Oryctolagus cuniculus: one gene and its partners. The protein of the gene in region 2 purifies or fractionates together with the protein of the main gene of each other region. This does not show direct contact. Links are inferred from orthologs where the notes say so. Each region holds a gene or a part of one and is shown on either strand. Other genes may lie near its edges. The genes, in order: HSP90AB1, CDK7, CDC37 and GTF2H4.

Region 1 (3,682 bases), on a different chromosome or scaffold from region 2:
TCCTGCTCAGAGTCTACGCCCGGGGGCGACTAAAGCAGAGGGGAAAGAAGGTGGTGCCTGGGGAGGCCCCAGTGCAGCAGGTTTGAGGCAGGAGGGGCCCCGCCCACCACCCAGGCTCTCCTCTACTTGGTGGCACTGGCTCTAGGGCAAAATGTGCAGCTGGCGGGCGGGGAGCCCGAGGCAGACTTCCCCTTGGCCTTAAGTCACCTGTTTGACAGCCCTCCTGAGGGGCTTGGGGGGGTGTCGAGCCTACCTGTTGTCACCAGCGCTTCACCTGTGCTTAGCCCCTACATCGGGGACTTCCCTCCCACACCTGCGTTTAACTGTGGGGAAAAGCACAGCACAAGTGTTTGGGGCGCCAAGTGCTGCTTTTCAAGGCGGGTGACAGGGTGCTGAGGGAGCTGGCTCCGTGAGCTAGTGCAGGCTTTGGTACTCTGGAAATGTCGTTTTGCTCTTTATAATTTTATTAAATTGCTGCAGTGGACAAGTCCTGTGTGTCAGGTGACTGAAGGGGTTGGGAGGACAGGGTTGCAGGGTGGGCACCCCCACTACCCCCTTAGCTTTGGGGTGAGCAACACCAGCACAGCCCTCTGTGCTCACAACTGCTGGACACCAAAAGCAGTGCATCCACTTTACAAGGGAGAGCAGAACTGTATAAAACGGCGTCATCTTTATTTTGCATACTTTAATTTCAGAACAAAATAAACAAAAAAAACCCACAATACACAACATCCAACCCCATTGTCAAATTAAGGAGGGGATGGGGCTTGAGGCCTTTGTTTCCTGCCATAAGACACAGGACAGGAGAGAGACCACTAGACATCAGCAGGGGAGCCAGGTGGGACAGGGCCACTCAAGGCTGCTGTGGGAGCCACGGGGACACTATACAGAGGGCAGGAGTTTCCGAGGAGTTCCTAGTCTACTTCTTCCATGCGGGAGGCGTCCTCATCTCCCTCGAGAGGGGGGATCTCCTCCGGAACAGCTGCGCTGGGTTCCTCTGCTGCCACCTCATCCTCATCAATGCCTAGGAAACAGAAAATAGGAGGTTCCAACCACACAGCACGGAGGGAGGGAAGGGTGTCCCCACCCGGAACCCAGGCACTGCTCACTCCATACCTAGGCCTAGCTTGATCATGCGATAGATGCGGTTGGAGTGGGTCTGGGGATCCTCCAGGGAGAAGCCGGAGGACAGCAGCGCAGTTTCAAAGAGCAGCACCACCAGATCCTTGACTGCCTTGTCGTTCTTATCCGCCTCGGCCTTCTGCCTCAGCGTCTCCACGATGGGGTGGTCGGGATTGATCTCCAGGTGCTTCTTGGCCATCATGTAGCCCATGGTAGAGTTGTCTCGAAGTGCCTGGGCCTTCATGATCCGCTCCATGTTGGCTGTCCAGCCGTAGGTGCTGGTCACGATGCAGCAGGGCGAAGACACGAGCCTATTGGAGATTGTCACCTGCAAACAGCCAGCAAACCTCAGGTGTGTGTGGAGGTCAGCCTTACATCTTTGCCAAGCCTTAGAGACAGCTCACACCTAACTCCTGAATAAAACCACTCACTGCAGGGCCACTGGCATCACCAGCTGCTCCGCTTCAGAGCCAGCTCCCTACGAATGTGCCTAGGAAGATGGCCCAAGAGCTCCGGCCCCTGCCACCTCCCAGGGAGACCTGGAGTTCCAGGCTCCTTGGCCTGGCTTACCCCAAGCCATTGTGCCCTCTCCAACCCTGCCCTTGAATCTTGACACACACAGCAAGCACGCAAAGCTGCACCTCCAAAGGAGTGCGGAACACCTGAGCCCCAGGTGCTCACCTTCTCAACCTTCTTATCCAGGATCTCCTTCATGAGCTTGCAGAGGTTCTCAAACTTCGCCTTGCTCTCCTCCATCTTCTTCTTCTCCTCCTCGTCCTCAGGCAGCTCCAGGCCCTCTTTGGTCACAGACACCAAGCTCTTCCCGTCGAACTCCTTGAGTTGCTGCACGCAGTACTCGTCGATCGGCTCTGTCATGTACACCACCTCGAAGCCCCGCTTCCGCACGCGCTCCACGAAAGCCGAGTTGGCCACCTGCTCTTTGCTCTCCCCTGCAAGGTCATTCAATGGGACTCAGACACGAATGCCCCTGCCCTGCCCAGCCCCTGCCCGCCTCAGACCCAGACGCGCACGCACCAGTGATGTAGTAGATGGACTTCTGTGTCTCCTTCATGCGAGAGACGTACTCAGACAGCGAAGTCATCTCGTCTCCAGACTGGGAGGTGTGGTAGCGCAGCAGCTCAGAGAGGCGGCGCCGGTTGGTGGAGTCCTCGTGGATGCCAAGCTTTAAGGGCGGGAAGAGAAACCACCATCAGCTGGGCTAGAACTTTGAACGACCCACTTACCACGTACCCAAACGTGCCCCAAGGGAGAAAGCCACTCGCTCCTCACCTTCAAGTTCTTGGAGAAGGCCTCATAGAACTTCTTGTAGTTCTCCTTGTCTTCCGCCAGCTCGGAGAAGAGCTCGAGGCACTTCTTCACGATGTTCTTGCGGATGACTTTCAAGATCTTGCTCTGCTGCAGCATTTCGCGGGAGATGTTCAAGGGCAGGTCTTCGGAGTCGACCACGCCACGGATGAAGTCTGCAACCAGGCAGTGCGGCAGCTTGGTCAAGACCAGGCCAGACTGGACAGAGCCACCCGGATGCGCACACGAGGTCCGGCTTTCTCCCTGGACCACTATCTGGGATGAAGCCTGCAGCCCCCTCCAACGCCACCGGGCCAAGGCCATACTCACTGAGATACTCTGGGATCAGCTCATCACAGCTGTCCATGATGAACACACGGCGGACGTACAGCTTAATGTTGTTCTTCTTCTTCTTGTTCTCAAAGAGGTCAAAGGGAGCTCGGCGAGGGATGAAAAGCAAAGCCCTGAATTCCAGCTGACCTTCCACGGAGAAGTGCTGCGACAGGAGACCCAAGGTAAGCCAGCAGGACGCGCCAGGCCCAGGGTGCCCTTCAGTCCCAACTAGACTCCAACCTGGAATTATCGTCCCCCAAGCACTTGCGACATGATTCCTAATGCCCTAAACACACCTACGCTGGTCCCAGCTGCATAAAATCCTGAACTTCCACCAGGAGAGAAAGCCAGGTCCTCGGGCAGGGCCATCAGCGATGCTCCCGGTTCTCAGCTGGGCTACCCCCTGCCTCTCCACCCCGGCCCACTCCCAAGGCCTCTCACCTTGACTGCCAAGTGGTCCTCCCAGTCATTGGTGAGGCTCTTGTAGAACTCGCCGTACTCCTCCTGGGTGATGTCATCAGGGTTTCTGGTCCAGATGGGCTTGGTCTTGTTCAGTTCTTCCTGATCGATGTACTTCTCCTTGATCTTCTTGGTTTTCTTTTTCTTGTCCTTGCCGCTGTCATCTTCCTCATCGGAGCCCACATCTTCGATCTTGGGCTTCTCATCGTCCTCCTTATCTTCCTCCTCCTTTTTCTCTTCCCCTTTTTCTTCCTCTGCTTCATCATCACTGATTTCCTTTTCTCTTTCCTTCTCCAACTAAAGCACCCAGAAACACTCGTCAGTTTTGAGCACCGACCCTCAGGGCAAGCAAATGGCCCAGCCCACCAGAAGCACAGGCAGGCTGCCTCCGCGGGAAGCATACTCACGTAGAGGGTGATGGGGTAGCCTATGAACTGCGAGTGCTTCTTCACCACCTCCTTGA
Region 2 (4,680 bases):
TTACTAAAGTATAACTGGCTTATTAATAAGTATATCCTACTCCAAATGATAAAAATATACCCAAGATAAAAACAGATGTCCATGGTATTAGAATGGGTAAATAAGACAAAAGATTATTTGTAACCTATATTCAGAAAAAATTTCAGAGTATGAAATAAGGATACGAATATAGGAATAATTTTCACTACAGATTGTAGTTTATTATATTCTGGGAGATAAAGTCATTGTTTGGTTTACCACTTTGTGATCATGTGTGCAAATCCTGGTAATCATTAACTTCCTCAAATTTATGTCTTAAAACCTCATATATTCACCTTAAATAATTTACTTTATTAAGGCAATTTATCAAACTTTAACAGGATCATCCTATGCCAACGGTATGTATATTATGAAAATAAAACCTCACAAAGCTAAATAAATTCTCTTCCATATCTTAATGATTTCCAGAACGTGCTTAAAGAAGTCATCCTGATAGTGAGGGTGGTAGCTCATGAGCGATAGACAGTAGAAGTGTTGAGTTCATGTTTCCTTTTTTTTTGGTAAGATTTATTTATTTTACTTGAAAGTCAGAACTAGAGGGAGACACACAGAGAGAGATCCTCCATCCGATGGTCCACTCCCCAAATGGCTGCAGTGGCTGTAGCTGAGCTGATCTGAAGTCAGGACCCAGGAGCTTCATCCAGGTCTCCCACGTGAGTGCAGGGGCCCAAGCATTGGGCCATCGTCTGCTGCTTTCCCAGGCGCACTAGCAAGGAGCTGAATGGGAAGTGGAGCAGCCAGGACTTGAACCAGCATTCCTTTGGGATGCCAACACTACAGATGTCACCCTAATCCGCTGCACCAGCCGGCCCCAGAATTCTTCACCCAGCTACCTGTGGGTTACTCTTACATCTGCTGCTCCAGTTCATCTGCTTCTCTTGTAAATTCTGTGTTGTAGTCCCATGTAAATGTTCCCCAACACAAACGAGAGATAGGAATTTGGGTTGGATGCTAGCAGTCTACTCATACTAGTCTTTTGCTCTTTCTTACTTTTCTCCCAAGAAGCCCAGGGCCATTTTTTGCTTCCAGAAAAGGGATTTCAGGTAATGGAGAGCGGTTAGAGTAATACTGTGGGTGCCATTAGAAACCCTAATTCTGGAATTAAGAATCTGAGGGCTGGCAGGCGCCGCGGCTCACTAGGCTACTCCTCCGCCTAGCGGCGCCGGCACACGAGGTTCTAGTCCCGGTTGGGGCGCCGGTTCTGTCCCGGTTGCCCCTCTTCCAGGCCAGCTCTCTGCTGTGGCCAGGGAGTGCAGTGGAGGATGGCCCAAGTGCTTGGGCCCTGCACCCGTGGCGGCCATTGGAGGCAAAGGAAGACCTTTCTCTCTGCCTCTCTCTCACTGTCCACTCTGCCTGTCAAAAAAAAAAAAAAAAAAAAGAATCTGAGGGCAGTCCTTACTACAGTTCTTGCCACGAAGATCAAAATGAAAAAAATCACTTGTATAATCTGGGGGGTGAACCAGCACATGGGAGACCTCTCTCTCTACCTCTCTTTCAAATAAATCTTTAGACAAAAATGTTTATTTTGATGAAAGAATTTTTTTTTATAATTCACAAGTATAGCTAGGCAAAAGCATGTCAGTGGGAATGGCTGTCACAGGATGAGCTCCAAGGACAGTGTTGTAGACAGAATTCTGGCAAGGCTGAGTCAGGACGTCTGTTTCCATTAGGGGTTAAGCACTCACACAAGGGTATTCCAGAAAGTTCAAAGAAAAATAGTTAAAAGATGTTTATTTTGGTGCCAGCGCTGTGGCATAGCAGGTTAAAGCTGCTGCCTGCAGTGCCGGCATCCCATATGGACACTAGTTCAAGTCCTAGCTGCTCCACTTTGATCCAGCTCCCTGCTAATGTGCCTGGGAGGGCGGCAGAGGATGGCCCAAGCGCTTGGGCCCCTGCACCCATGTGGAAGACCCTAGAAGAAGCTCCTGGCTCCTGGATTTGGATCTGCTCAGCTCTGGCCCACTGGTGGCTATTTGGGGGGTGAACCAGCACATGGAAGACCTCTCTCTCTACCTCTCTAACTCTTTCAAATAAATCTTTAGACAAAAATGTTTATTTTGATGAAAAGATTTTTTTTTTAATTCTGCATAGTTTTTTTTAATGATATCCATGAAATTTTTGAAGAATCTTTGTATAATTAACCATCAGCAAATTGGTTAATTTGTGTTTCAGTTTTCCTCTCTAGTATTCTACAGTATAGGATCAAATTAGAATATTATCTGTAACCTGAGAATTTAGTGGCTGGAAACAGTAAGCCCTTATGGCTCAGTTACTGGGGCTGCAGTCATCTGAAGGCTTGGCTGCAGCTGACAGTCCCATCTCCAGGGTAGACCACTCACGTGGCAAGTGATGCTGGCTGTTGTTGGCAGGAGTTCCTCTCCGTGTAGGAAGGCTGTGCGTGTGGACTGACACGACTGACTTTCCCTGTAGTAATGATGCAGGCGTGCAGGCAGCAATGGCTGCTCCCACTTCCACCGCTGTGCCGTGTTCCACTGGTACAGAACAGCTTGTCTCATTGTGGGAGGACGACACAAGGGCATCCATAGCAGAAGGCAAGGTCGTCATGGCCATCTTTGACTAATAACAGATCTATAAACTCCGTGAGGTGCAGCAAAAGCTCAATATTTACAGACCTCATTGCCAGGGTATCAGCTAACCCATCGTCAGCAGCACGGTACAAGGTATGGAGTATCAACTTGTAGGACATGGCACACTTGAGAACCTCAAGCCTCAAAGGTAAAACTATCGTATTTAGCTCATTAGCTCTACAAGGAGGTAAAATTACCAAAGTATGTCTTTCGGAAGGAACGCTGGCAGAAGTCACACGACAGCACGCCTCTCTAGGTAGGACTTGCCCCAAGAAAAGTGGTAAATCCGGTGCACTTCCTGCAATGTACAAATCTTGCCTAGAGCCAGGTAGTGACAAAGCACCGAAAAAGAACAGTAATGGCTATCGTCAACCAAGACCTAGCTGCCGGAAATAAACTAGGTACGCGTAGTAGGTGGTTTGGCCCGGTCCTCCATCTCGTGATTGCATACTGGCGGGCAGGTATTCCGCTACAGGCGGTCTGATGCCGGAGCTAATGCTGACTTGCTGTATTACACGAACTGCACTGTTTTTGGCCTTGGCATCCTGCCATCTTCAACACGTCTCTGAAATCGGGATTTCGGCTCTCAGAAGCGTCAGATGCAATGGAGGAAACATTTCCGTGGTGCAGGCTGCTCCACTCAGATCTTGGAATCATTCTTTCCCCCTCCAACCCGTATCCAGCCTGTCCGTAAATGCTATTGGGTAGAAAGCAAGCAGAGTCATCTGGATTGTTGCACTAATTTTCTAACAGGGTCCTCTTTCTAAAAAATACTTAAAATCACTCTTCATCTGTGAAGCAGAACGGGCAAGCCCGTCTGCTGGTTCACTCCCCAGATCTCAATGGCAGCGGCCAGGCCAGAGCCACCAGCTGGAATGCAACCTCGCTGGTAGGAACTCAAGTACCCGAGCCATCTCCGCTCAGGCGAGTGGGATTCTGCCTCCCTAGGCCTGCTCCTCCCTAAGGGGAGTGCACCTGCTCCCGACTCGGCCTCAGAACGCGGCAGAGGTCGCGGGTTCTGGCGTCCACAGCAACCGTGACGCCGGAAAGCCTAGAGCAGCAACCAGCACGCGGTCACAAACTATCCGCACACGCACAGCCCTAGAAAATTCCGAACGCGGAACACATCAGGACGCCCACTCGTCCCCGACTGCGAGGACAACACCCAAATTGAAGCGATAAAACAGCAACACAGCGGCTGCCCAAAGGGCCGCACTTCCGGCATCCGCGGCGGTCACGTGACGGGCGCGACCCCGGCCCTGAGCGGCTTTGGTCCGGACGGGCTTTGCCCGGACTCTTTTAACAGCTGCTCCGCCCACCCCGGAAGTAGGGGCGGAGCCTCAAGCGTCGGAGCCCAGTGAGCGGAAGGGGCTGTTGGAGGCTTTAAGGCAGCTTTAAATTCCAGCTGTCTGGGGCGCCTGCCTCTTTTGGCTGGAGTCGGACTTCGGTTCCCGGATGGCTGTGGACGTGAAGTCTCGAGCTAAGCGTTATGAGAAACTGGACTTCCTCGGGGAGGGCCAGGTGAGGCTCTCGGGCGGGATGGAGAGCAGCGCGCGCACAGCCTTGCAGGGTTTTCCATGGACGCCCGAGGGCCTTGGCCGCTCGCTCTCCGTGGGGAGGCCGCCCGGACACAGCTGCCGCCCCGTTTTGTGCCCTGGAGGTTGGACCCCCACCCGGGAGCCCCCCGCTGCTTCCCGGCGGAGCGCGCTGGAGAGGGACGGGGCTGCCGAGCGCGGTGCAGGCCGCGGGGCCCGCGGGCTCCCCGCTGGCGCGAGCAGCAAGCGCCCGGGACTCAGTTCTCCCTGTTTCTCTTTCCAGTTTGCCACAGTTTACAAGGCCAGAGATAAGACCACCAACCAAATTGTCGCCATTAAGAAAGTGAGTCGCCGGCCGGGGGTGTCGTCTGCTCGCTCGGGGCGCTCCCCGAGTGCCTGTGCAGCGCCGGCGCGCACGCCCGGCGGGTTTCAGGCGCGCCGACGAGGAAGCCTGCGCCGCGTTGCTGGATGCGCTCGGGTTTGGGCCGCGGGGGCAGGCACTGCCCGCCTGCTGGGTC
Region 3 (4,869 bases), on a different chromosome or scaffold from region 2:
GGGGGCTGGGGGTGTCGGGGGACTGGGAGGGAAATGCTGATGGGGGTGCCAGGGAGCTGGGAGGGAAACGCTGATGGGGGTGCCGGGGGCTGGGAGGCCCACGGACGCTGGAAAGCACCTCGGGTCTCTCTCTGGTTCTCAGTCCCCGAGGCTGGAGATGATGCCACATTAGGAAATGTTTGGCGCGGCAAGGGGACCTTCCGGCGCCGGGTCCCCGGTTCTGGGAGCTGGGGCTCCTGGCACCCCGTTCCGCTGGGGCTGGGCAGAGAGAGACCCCTTGAGCCTACCTGGGAATCCCGGGCATCGGGGGTCCTTCCTCACATATCCCCGGAGTCTGACGGCAGGGCTTCGGGGAAGGGGGTGGTCTTCCTGGGGGCTCCAGGGAGGTCCCCCTCACCGTTCTAGACTCCTCCCGGGCGCCGGACCCACCCCCTGCCCACCGCAGCTTGCAGCCCAGAGCTTACCTTGGAAGGGGGCTGGGGAAGGGACGCCCCGCCCTCTCCGGCGGGGGGAGGGGGCGGGAAGGGACTGGGGTGCCCAGACCCTTTGTTTGCTGGTGTGTGAGTGTGAGTGTGAGTGTGTGCGCGCGGCGGTGAGACCCGCCGGGGTGTGAGTCCGTGCGCGCGCGTGCTCGGGCCGTGACGGCCACGGAGGAGCTGGACTGGCGGCTGGAGGGGGGGAGGGGGAAGCGACGGGGACTCCCCCGCCCCCGCCCGCCCACTCGCGGGTTTGAATGAAAAGCGAGGGGGAGGGGCGGCGGAGGGAGGGCGCTTTTGGTCCCGATGGCCACTCCCCCTCCCCAACGGGCCGGGGAATCCCTCCCCACCCCCACCCCCATGGAGCGATTTTTATTCTCTCCAGGGACCCCCCACTATCTACAGAGGCTCTGCGAGGAACTGGGGAGAGGCGTCCCAGACACAGGTGGCCGGAGCTCCTCCAACTCCACTTGACCCTCGCGGAGCACCCCTTAATCTGAGATAATCCTGGCCCGAGGCTGCAACACGGCCTTTTATCCCTGCATCCGAGAGTGGGTGGAGCCGTGGAGCAGCGCGCGGCCCAGCTGCCCCGAGCTCGGGGCAGTGGCATCCTGAAGCCGTTCTGGCCGAGGGGAGGGGTCCCAGCCGAACGGGGAGGGGCGACGAGCAGCCCCAGACCCGGACGACGAGGAAAGCCCCCTACCGCCCCTCCCCAGTCCCCTACTGGGCCGGAGGCCAGCAGCACTGGCCACTAGCTGGACATTTGGCGACACCCAGCGGCCGTGCGTGGGGACGCCACGCAGGGCGCCCGAAAACCTTTTGGGTGATTCCAGAGGGGGGGTGTGCGCGCAAGTCGTCTCTCACGAGTGGCGGGCACCGGGGGCTGTGTGTGGTCCCAGCGCGGGAAACCCTGCCCTACCGTCGACCCCCTCCCCTCCCCGCCACGTAGGACAGGATCTTACCGCCGCTCGCTTAGACCCCTCCACCACGGCAGGGTCTCGACCCCCCCTACTCGAACTGGGGAGTCCCCTCGGGTCTCGTGCCCCTCCCTAGCCCGGAATCCAGTCCCCCACCTTCAGGGGAGCTGGGTGGGGGTGGGGGTGGGTCTTCGAGTCGAGGCCCCGCCCCTGCGGTGGCCTCGGGCTGATGTCACTGCGGCTTGGCCAACGGGACAATCCAGCCCCTCAGTCTCGTCAACTGCCCCAGCGCAAACGCCCCCCGGGGAGGGGGCGGCAGGAGATGAGAGGCGCTCCTGGCTGCCGCGCTGCCCTGTAGGCCCCCCAGGAGGTGCCGGGCAGAGTCTCCCTGCCCAACGAGGCGGGGTCTCGGCGGGAACTCCCTGGCCCCTAACACGTGCGCAGGTCCCTTTAAGGCGGGCTTGGTCGCCAGGGCCGCCGCCGCCGTTACCAGGGATGTGACGTCACGCGCGGGCGGGGGCTGCGCGCGCGGGCGGAAGCGGAAGGGGCGGGGCTCCGCGGGCCGAGTGTCCAGCGCTGCCGCCGCCGCCGCCGCCGCCGCCGCCGCCGCCGCTCGAGCGGGCGCGGGCTGGGCCGTGGAGGCAAGATGGTGGACTACAGCGTGTGGGACCACATCGAAGTGTCCGACGATGAGGACGAGACGCACCCCAACATCGACACGGCCAGCCTCTTCCGCTGGAGGCACCAGGTAGAGCGCGCGTGCCCGGCCCCTGCCCCCTTTCCCGGGACCGCTCCAGAGTTCTGACCGCGGGTACTGCCCAGGGGACCCCGCGGTTGTTGACGCCCGGGATTCCAACCTCACGGTTTGGAGTTTCCCGCCCCTCGATTCCACGCCGGGGCTCGGGGAGCGCTGGGACCCCCACCCCCACCCACCCCCAGTCCCTGCGCGCGACCCCTGGGGCCGCCTTCGGATTCTGCACGGGTCTCTATTAACCCTTGAGACGCCCTCGGTCTGTGTATTCCCAGGGCCACCGGGGGGGGGGGTCCCTCGCCTGTAGGAACCTCTGCCGGCATCTGAGGACACCCCACCCCGCCTCACCCCTGCCCCCAGCCTCATCAACCCTGGGACGGGCAGGTGGTCCCTGCTGGCAACTCAGGGACCCCATGGTCACCACCCCCTCTTTGACGTATTTGCCCACGACAGAGCCCCCAGAGCCAGACCCCAGAATCCTAGCCGTGAGCAGCCCGTGGCTTCCCACCCATCCTCCCGCCCGGAGGTGCTCACCCCGCAGCTCGCACGGAGCGCGCACCTCCCAGAAGCTTCCAGTAGGAATTCCCGTCCCGGGCCTCCCTTCTGGCAGACCTGTATCCAGAAAGCCCTAGAAGGGCCCTGCCCCATCCTTCCGGGATGTGGCCTGGGGCCTGCTTCTGCCTCCCGGGCCCACCCCCAAACCTTTCCTTAAAGCGGCCGTCTCCTGGGGCGTGCACCTGCTGTGCGGGAGTGTGGGAAGAAAGTTCCAGCCCTTCTAGTTCTATTTATTATGAAATATTTAAGACCTCCGCAAGGCTCCCCAGACTATTTCTGTCGCGTAAAGAGGTTAATCTTTACTCTGGCGTGGAGAGCGGGGTGGGGGCCGCCCCATTTCCTGGCCGGCTGCTGTGGAGGAGGGGCGGGGTGCCCGCCCAGCCCCCAGCCCCCTCTCCAGTTTGCGAGGTGGGGGGAGGTTTGTGATCTCTCTGAGCGCTGCAAAGCTGAGCTAACGCGGCGCCCGCTTCTGGAAAGATCCTGGTGCAGAGACTGGGATGGAAAAGTTAGAGGTGGCCTGGTGGCTGCCACTCTGGGTTCCCGGAGAGGTGGGCGTTTGCCCGCCGCCCTGGGCTCTGCACCCACTGCCGGCTCCGGTTCCCACTGCCCTTCCCACTGCCCCGGGAGGCAGCAGGGACGCCTCAGGGCCCTGGGCCCCCGCCACCCACGTGGCGGACTTGCTTTGAGTTCCTGGCTCCCGGCTTCAGCCTGGCCCAGCCCCAGCCCTTGTGGGCATTTGACGTGATGATGGACTAGCAGCTGGGAACTCTGTCTCTGCCTCTGAACTTTAAAAGATGGAGGCCGGCGCCGCGGCTCACTAGGCTAATCATCCGCTTGCTGCGCCGGTACCCCAGGTTCTAGTCCCGGTCGTGGCGCCGGATTTTGTCCCGGTTGCCCCTCTTCCAGGCCAGCTCTCTGCTGTGGCCCGGGAGTGCAGTGGAGGATGGCCCAAGTGCTTGGGCCCTGCACCCACATGGGAGACCAAGAGAAGCACCTGGCTCCTGGTTTCGGATCAGCGCGGTGCGCTGGCCGCAGTGGCCATTGGGGGATGAACCAACGGCAAAGGAAGACCTTTCTCTCTGTCTCTCTCTCACTGTCCACTCTGCCTGTCAAAAAAAAAAAAAAAAGAAAAAGAAAAGTGATATTGCTTATTTTGTTGCCAAAAATTTGTAACCAGGAATAGTCCTTTCGAGGCACTGGTTTTCTGTGAACTTTTTGAATCCAACTTATATGCCTGAATTTCAGACTTTTTGCACCCCGCTAAAGTTGCCTTTTGAAAGATTTATTTACTTTGCTGAGCCAATTTTTTGGTGAAGACTTATTTAATTTTAAAGATTATCCATTTCTTCTTTTAAGTTTTTTAATTTAAGATTTAGTTTATTTGAAAGGCAGAGTTACAGAAGGAAAAGGAGAGATGGAGCCGGTTTGCTCCACAAATGGCTGCAAGAGCCAGGGCTGGGCTGATCTGAAGCCAGGAGCCAGGAGCTTCCTCCAGGTCTCCCACGCGGGTGCAGGGGCCCAAGGGCTTGGGCCATCTTGCACTGCTCTCCCAGGCCACAGCAGAGAGCTGGATCAGAGTGGAGCAGCCGGGACTCGAACTGGTACCCATAAAGGTGCTGGCGCTTCAGGCCAGGGCTTTAACCACAGCACCAGCCCCAAAAGTTATCTTTTATAATGTCATTTCTCCATGAAATTTTTTTTAAAGATTTTATTTATTTATTTGACAGGTAGAGTTACAGACAGTAAGACAGAGAGAAAGGTCTTCCATCCGTTGGTTCAACCGCCAAACGGCCACAATGGCCGGAGCTGCACCGATCCGAAGCCAGGAGCCATGTGCCCCCTCCTGGTCTCCCGTGCGGGTGCAGGACCCAAGCACTTGGGCCATCCTCCATGAATTTTTGAAGCAGCATTCCAGGCGTGGCCAGTTGGGTTGGATTCAGCTCCTGGATTATTGGCACGCCAGCCAGCCGCTCGCTAGCTCTGGATCCAAGCGTATGCCCGGGACCCAACCCGTGGGGGTCGATGCCAGGGTTTCCTGATTTATGGATTTTTAAAGACGTGTTTATTGGAAAGGCAGAGTTGACAGAGGAGGAGAGAGTCCATGTGCTGGTTCCTTCCCTAAATGGCTGTGACAGCAGGGCTGCTCCAGCTCTGCCCTCTGGCTTTCCTG
Region 4 (4,766 bases), on a different chromosome or scaffold from region 2:
GGTTCACTCCCCAGATGGCTGCAACAGCTGGAGCTGCGCCGATCCGAAGCCAGAGAGCTGGATTGGAGGTGGAGCAGCCGGGACTAGAACCGGTGCCCATATGGGATGCCAGTGCTTCAGGTCAGGGCTTTAACCTGCTGTGCCACAGCACTGGCCCCATGTTCTGTTTCTTTGACTTTTCCTTAACTACTAGTGCGGTTCATGGTTTTCCAACTCTTCACAAGGCTTTGTATTTTTCCTGCTTATTGCTTGTGATCTCTTTTGCCAATCTTTTTTTTTTTTTTGTCTTTTTGCTTTGGAAGAGCCTTTTGCATTCTGTCTACTTCATCGAACATTTCTCCCCAAGCTTTATCTTTTTATTTTTGAAGTTTAACAGGCAGAGACAGACAGATGTTCCACCCACTGTTTCATTCCCCCAAATGCTCTCAATGACCTTGGGGGGTGGGAGTTTGAAATCTGGAGTCAGGAACCCCATCCAGGTCTCCCAAGTACCTGAGCCATCACCACCTGGTCCCATGGTCTGCTTTAGCAGGAGCCAGAGAAGGGTACGGAGCTCAGGCACCTTTATATGAAAAAGAGAGAGAGAGAGGGATCTTTCATCTGCTGATTCACTCCCCAAATGGCCGCAACCACCCAGGCTGGGCCAGGCCAAAGCCAGGAGCCAGGAGCCAGGAGCCAGGAGCTTCATTCAGGTCTCCCACATGCTCCCCTGCTCGCCCAGGCACATTAGCAGAGACCTGGACCGGAAGTGGAGCAGCCAGGACTGGAACTGGCGCACATATGGGATGTCGGCACTGCACGTCGTGGCTTAACCTGCTATGTTTAAAACTATTTATTAAAGGGGCCGGCACCCCATATGGATGCCAGTTTGTGTCCCAGCTGCTTCTGGTCCAATCCAGCTCTCTGCTATGGCCTGGGAAAGCAGTGGAAGATGGTCCAAGTCCTTGGGAACCCTGTACCCATATGGGAGACTCATAAGAAGCTCTTGGCTCCTGGCTTTGGATTAACATAGCTCCAGCCATTGTGGCCAACTGGGGGAGTGAACCAGCAGATGGAAGACCTCTCTCCTTATCTCTCCTTCTCTCTCTCTGTGACTCCGCTTCTCAAATAAATAAATAAATCTTAAAAAACCAGCCTATTTATTAAGGTCTTCTAACTAAACAGGGATTGGAAGCATGCTGAAAGACACTAAGACTTGTTGAATGCCCGCGAGTCAAGGCGCGTGGGATCGGGGTAGCAGTCAACTCGCGAAAGCGCTTACGCGGGGGACCTCTGACCTCAAACAATCTAGTTTTGTGCTCTCCAAGTGCCTCCCCACCCTGCCTTTTGGCGCCCTTCCACCAAGAAGCCCTCGGGGCATTTCTCTCCAGGTCCCGCCTCGGTCCACGCCGTTTAGAAGCGCCGTTAGCAGCGTGGGCGGAGAGAGGCGCGGAACAAAATGGTCCGACTTCTGGCGGCCCGGCTCGCTCAAGGGCCAGCTTGTCTCCGCCCGGCTTCCTCGCGCTGCCTTTCGGGAGTTGTAGTCAGAATAGCTTCAGTTTGCTCCGAGGTGCGTAGGGACAGGACTCCAACTCCCAGTACGCCCCGCGGCCCCCGAGTGCAGCGCCTATTTTCATCCTCCCCACTTTTCCACTCCTCTTCCTTTCCTTCTCTTCTGTTTTCCCCATTCTGGGCTGCTGTGAAATCCCTCGTTGCTCTCCATCTTTTTCTCTCATTTCCTGACCATCCTTTCCCCCATCTCCGGGACATCGGCTCCGTTTAAGTGACGGCTGGAGACTCGGGGCGAGTGAGGGGGGTCGGCACAGAGTGGTGAGCGGGCCCGGGAGGGCGGGTAGACGGAGGTAGAAGAGAGCAGAGAGGGGTGGGGAGTGGCAGAAAAGTCGGGGAGAAGAAGTCGGGGAGAAGTTAGGGGATGGGACGGTGTGGATCGGGGTGGACGCAGTGAGGTAGACTTGGGGGAGGTGGAAGTGGTGGGTCTGGATTTGAGCAGCGTGGAGAGCAGAGGTTTGTTTTGCCGTACCTCGCAGAAGAGGGGTGCGAAGTAGAGGATGGGGAAGACGGACAGAATTGGAGCTTGCAGACTGCTCTGCAGGAGGGGCGGAGGGAGAGAGTGGGCGCAGACAAGGTTCTTTGCTACCGCTTAGCTAAAGAAGACAGGTCGTTGCAACCAAAATGATTTTTGCAAGTAGAGGCCAGTTAGTAACTTGGAAATTGAGGGAAGTCTGGAGTGGTGGGCAGAAGTGGGATGAGGAGGCAGGAAAGAGGGGAGGCTGGTCAGGTTTGGAGAGACAGCAGGAGATAAATGACCTGGGAACGGACACCACGGGTATTACTGTGGGGACTGATGGATCTGGAGTCAGAGGTCAGGGGTGACCCTGGTGTGGATCGCGGGGGTGTGCGGCTAACACTTGTCTCTCAGGTGATGGAGAGTACCCCTTCTAGGGGTGGACTGAACCGGGTGCATCTACAATGCAGGAATCTGCAGGAATTCTTAGGGAGCCTAAGCCCTGGGGTTTTGGATCGATTGTATGGGCACCCTGCCACCTGTCTGGCTGTCTTCAGGTGAGGAGTTCCCTTCACGGCAGCAACTGTGGTGGAGAAATGTGGTAGGGCTGGCAGACGGCAATGAGTTATCCTGGGCAGAACCGTAGCAGCCTGGCACGGCTTGGGAATTACTCCAAATTGATGCAGATGGAACAGATGGGGGTTCTGGGGACAGCAGGACTGGTTAAGATACGTGTGTGTGTGTGTGTGTGTGTGTGTGTTTCTGGTGAGATGAGATGTTTGAGAGGCATGTCAGGCAGAGATAGAGATAGAAGGCAGCTTCTGGTTTTGATTTCTGACCTCTACCCTCTGCAGAGAGCTCCCATCTTTGGCTAAGAACTGGGTGATGCGGATGCTCTTTCTGGAGCAGCCTTTGCCGCAAGCTGCCGTAGCCCTGTGGGTGAAGAAGGAGTTCAGCAAGTGAGTCTCGACGGCACTCTCAGCCAGATACAAATTTCTCAGCAGCTAGATTTCTCAAACTGCTGTTCTTTGGCACACTCTCAGGAAATACTAATAGGTACACCACAAAGCTTGCATGCTGTGTCTTCCTTCTTGGAGAGTTGTGATGTCTGTAGCAAGGTTCTGAAATTTGTGTTTAGGGGCTGGCTCTGTGGCGTAGTGGGTAAAGCCACCGCCTGCAGTGCCGGCATCCCATGTGGGCTCCACTTCCGATCCAGCTCTCTGCTATGGCCTGGGAAAACAGTGGAAGACGGCCCAAGCGCTTGGGCCCCTGCACCCACGTGGGAGACCCGGAAGAAGCGCCTGGCTCCTGGCTTCAGATTGGCCCAGTTCTGGCCATTGAGGCCATCTGGGGAGTGAACCAGCGGATGGAAGATCTGTCTCTGTCTCTGCTTCTGCCTCTCTGTATCTTTGCCTTTCAAATAAATAAATAAATCTTTTTTTAAAAAGGAAGAAATTTGTGTTTAGGAGACAGTGACTTCACTCTGAAATGGTTCGGAAGAGGCAGAAGTGGAGCCTGTGTGGGCCTCCTTCGTTTTGTTCTCGGGACACCCACTTAGCACTCATCTCGGCTTCTGTTCCAGGGCTCAGGAGCAAAGTACGGGGCTGCTGAGCGGCCTCCGGATCTGGCACACCCAGCTGCTCCCTGGAGGCCTCCAGGGCCTCATCCTCAACCCCGTCTTCCGCCAGAACCTCCGCGTCGCCCTTCTCGGTGGGTATGTCACTTCCATCTCTTCCTAAGCCAGCCCAGGGGGACAGGTAGTTCAGCTGCCGGAGGGGGAGCTCCTGGGGGGAGAGGGAACTCCTGGAGGGGAGAGGAGACTCCTGGCGGGGAGTGGGGCTCCTTGGAGCCTTGCGGGGCCCACCTTTGAGAACTCCTTTAGGGAGAAGTTGAATCAGATACAGCTGCATGGTGTAGGAAGTGTCCCCTATGCATGGCCCTTGAGGTAAGGGTGGAGAGGGGGCAGACAGGCAGCAGGGAACAGAGCCAAGGTTCCTCACCTCTTGGTGCGTCCTGGCCTTAGGGGGAAGGCCTGGTCTGATGACACAAGTCAGCTGGGACCCGACAAGCATGCCCGGGATGTCCCCTCCCTCGACAAGTACGCAGAGGAGCGATGGGAGGTGAGGCCCCTGGGGTTCTGCGGTTCTGCGCTCGCGCCGCTGCATCTGTGGCTCGCAGAGGCATCAGCCTCTGTGTTGTCTTCTGCTCTGCAGGTGGTCTTGCACTTCATGGTGGGCTCCCCGAGTGCGGCCGTCAGCCAGGACTTGGCCCAGCTCCTCAGTCAGGCTGGGCTCATGAAGAGGTGAGCAAGCTGGAGGTAACGCGACTCCCTGCTCTGCCGTCTCTTTGGGTCCTTGGTAAATGGTGTCTGGAGTGGGACCAGGTTCGAGGGAGTTGACTGCAAAAGCAGAGCTGGGTCCAGCAGAGCCTAAAGACACCAGGCGGGAACCGGAGAGCGCTGCTGGCGGTGACGGTCCTTCCCTGCCTGTCCCCATCACTGCCCCCTGCGTCTCTAGTGCCGAGCCAGGAGAGCCCCCCTGCATTACCTCCGCCGGCTTCCAGTTCCTGCTGCTGGACACGCCCGCCCAGCTCTGGTACTTTATGCTGCAGTATCTGCAGACCGCCCAGGTGAGGAGGCCTGGGGCCCACCCCCCGCTCGCTCTGCCCAAGAGTCTGCCGCCCACACCGGTCTTCCCCTGCTCACACCTGCTCCCTCCTAGCTCTCTTCCTTGTCCCCCCTCCTCTCCCTAGAGCCGGGGCA

Evidence for each region.
Region 1: the proteins of CDK7 (region 2) and HSP90AB1 purify together in Homo sapiens (affinity purification with mass spectrometry; 4 studies listed by BioGRID and IntAct, counting the BioPlex papers as one, with this or other methods). This does not show direct contact. The link is inferred for Oryctolagus cuniculus from reciprocal best matches to the Homo sapiens genes CDK7 and HSP90AB1.
Region 3: the proteins of CDK7 (region 2) and CDC37 purify together in Homo sapiens (affinity purification with mass spectrometry; 3 studies listed by BioGRID and IntAct, counting the BioPlex papers as one, with this or other methods). This does not show direct contact. The link is inferred for Oryctolagus cuniculus from reciprocal best matches to the Homo sapiens genes CDK7 and CDC37.
Region 4: the proteins of CDK7 (region 2) and GTF2H4 purify together in Homo sapiens (affinity purification with mass spectrometry; 7 studies listed by BioGRID and IntAct, with this or other methods). This does not show direct contact. The link is inferred for Oryctolagus cuniculus from reciprocal best matches to the Homo sapiens genes CDK7 and GTF2H4.

What each region holds. Positions count from the first base shown.
Region 1 is NC_091436.1:125,879,462-125,883,143, forward strand, and holds the end of HSP90AB1 (heat shock protein HSP 90-beta), read right to left. Parts: coding exon 3,627-3,682; intron 3,517-3,626; coding exon 3,202-3,516; intron 2,924-3,201; coding exon 2,758-2,923; intron 2,604-2,757; coding exon 2,413-2,603; intron 2,306-2,412; coding exon 2,158-2,305; intron 2,073-2,157; coding exon 1,804-2,072; intron 1,451-1,803; coding exon 1,117-1,450; intron 1,025-1,116; coding exon 915-1,024; 3' UTR 867-914; exon of another isoform or gene 830-866; 3' UTR 652-829; downstream 1-651. Other genes in the region: SLC35B2 (adenosine 3'-phospho 5'-phosphosulfate transporter 1), read left to right, coding at 1-86. UniProt on the Homo sapiens protein: Molecular chaperone that promotes the maturation, structural maintenance and proper regulation of specific target proteins involved for instance in cell cycle control and signal transduction. Undergoes a functional cycle linked to its ATPase activity.
Region 2 is NC_091445.1:90,220,729-90,225,408, forward strand, and holds the start of CDK7 (cyclin-dependent kinase 7), read left to right. Parts: upstream 1-1,406; 5' UTR 1,407-4,082; coding exon 4,083-4,148; intron 4,149-4,445; coding exon 4,446-4,505; intron 4,506-4,680. UniProt on the Homo sapiens protein: Serine/threonine kinase involved in cell cycle control and in RNA polymerase II-mediated RNA transcription. Cyclin-dependent kinases (CDKs) are activated by the binding to a cyclin and mediate the progression through the cell cycle.
Region 3 is NC_091447.1:67,013,433-67,018,301, forward strand, and holds the start of CDC37 (hsp90 co-chaperone Cdc37), read left to right. Parts: upstream 1-1,940; 5' UTR 1,941-2,039; coding exon 2,040-2,141; intron 2,142-4,869. UniProt on the Homo sapiens protein: Co-chaperone that binds to numerous kinases and promotes their interaction with the Hsp90 complex, resulting in stabilization and promotion of their activity. Inhibits HSP90AA1 ATPase activity.
Region 4 is NC_091436.1:139,556,549-139,561,314, reverse strand, and holds the start of GTF2H4 (general transcription factor IIH subunit 4), read left to right. Parts: upstream 1-1,588; 5' UTR 1,589-1,809; intron 1,810-2,419; 5' UTR 2,420-2,422; coding exon 2,423-2,562; intron 2,563-2,859; coding exon 2,860-2,964; intron 2,965-3,587; coding exon 3,588-3,719; intron 3,720-4,028; coding exon 4,029-4,125; intron 4,126-4,218; coding exon 4,219-4,307; intron 4,308-4,521; coding exon 4,522-4,633; intron 4,634-4,756; coding exon 4,757-4,766. UniProt on the Homo sapiens protein: Component of the general transcription and DNA repair factor IIH (TFIIH) core complex, which is involved in general and transcription-coupled nucleotide excision repair (NER) of damaged DNA and, when complexed to CAK, in RNA transcription by RNA polymerase II.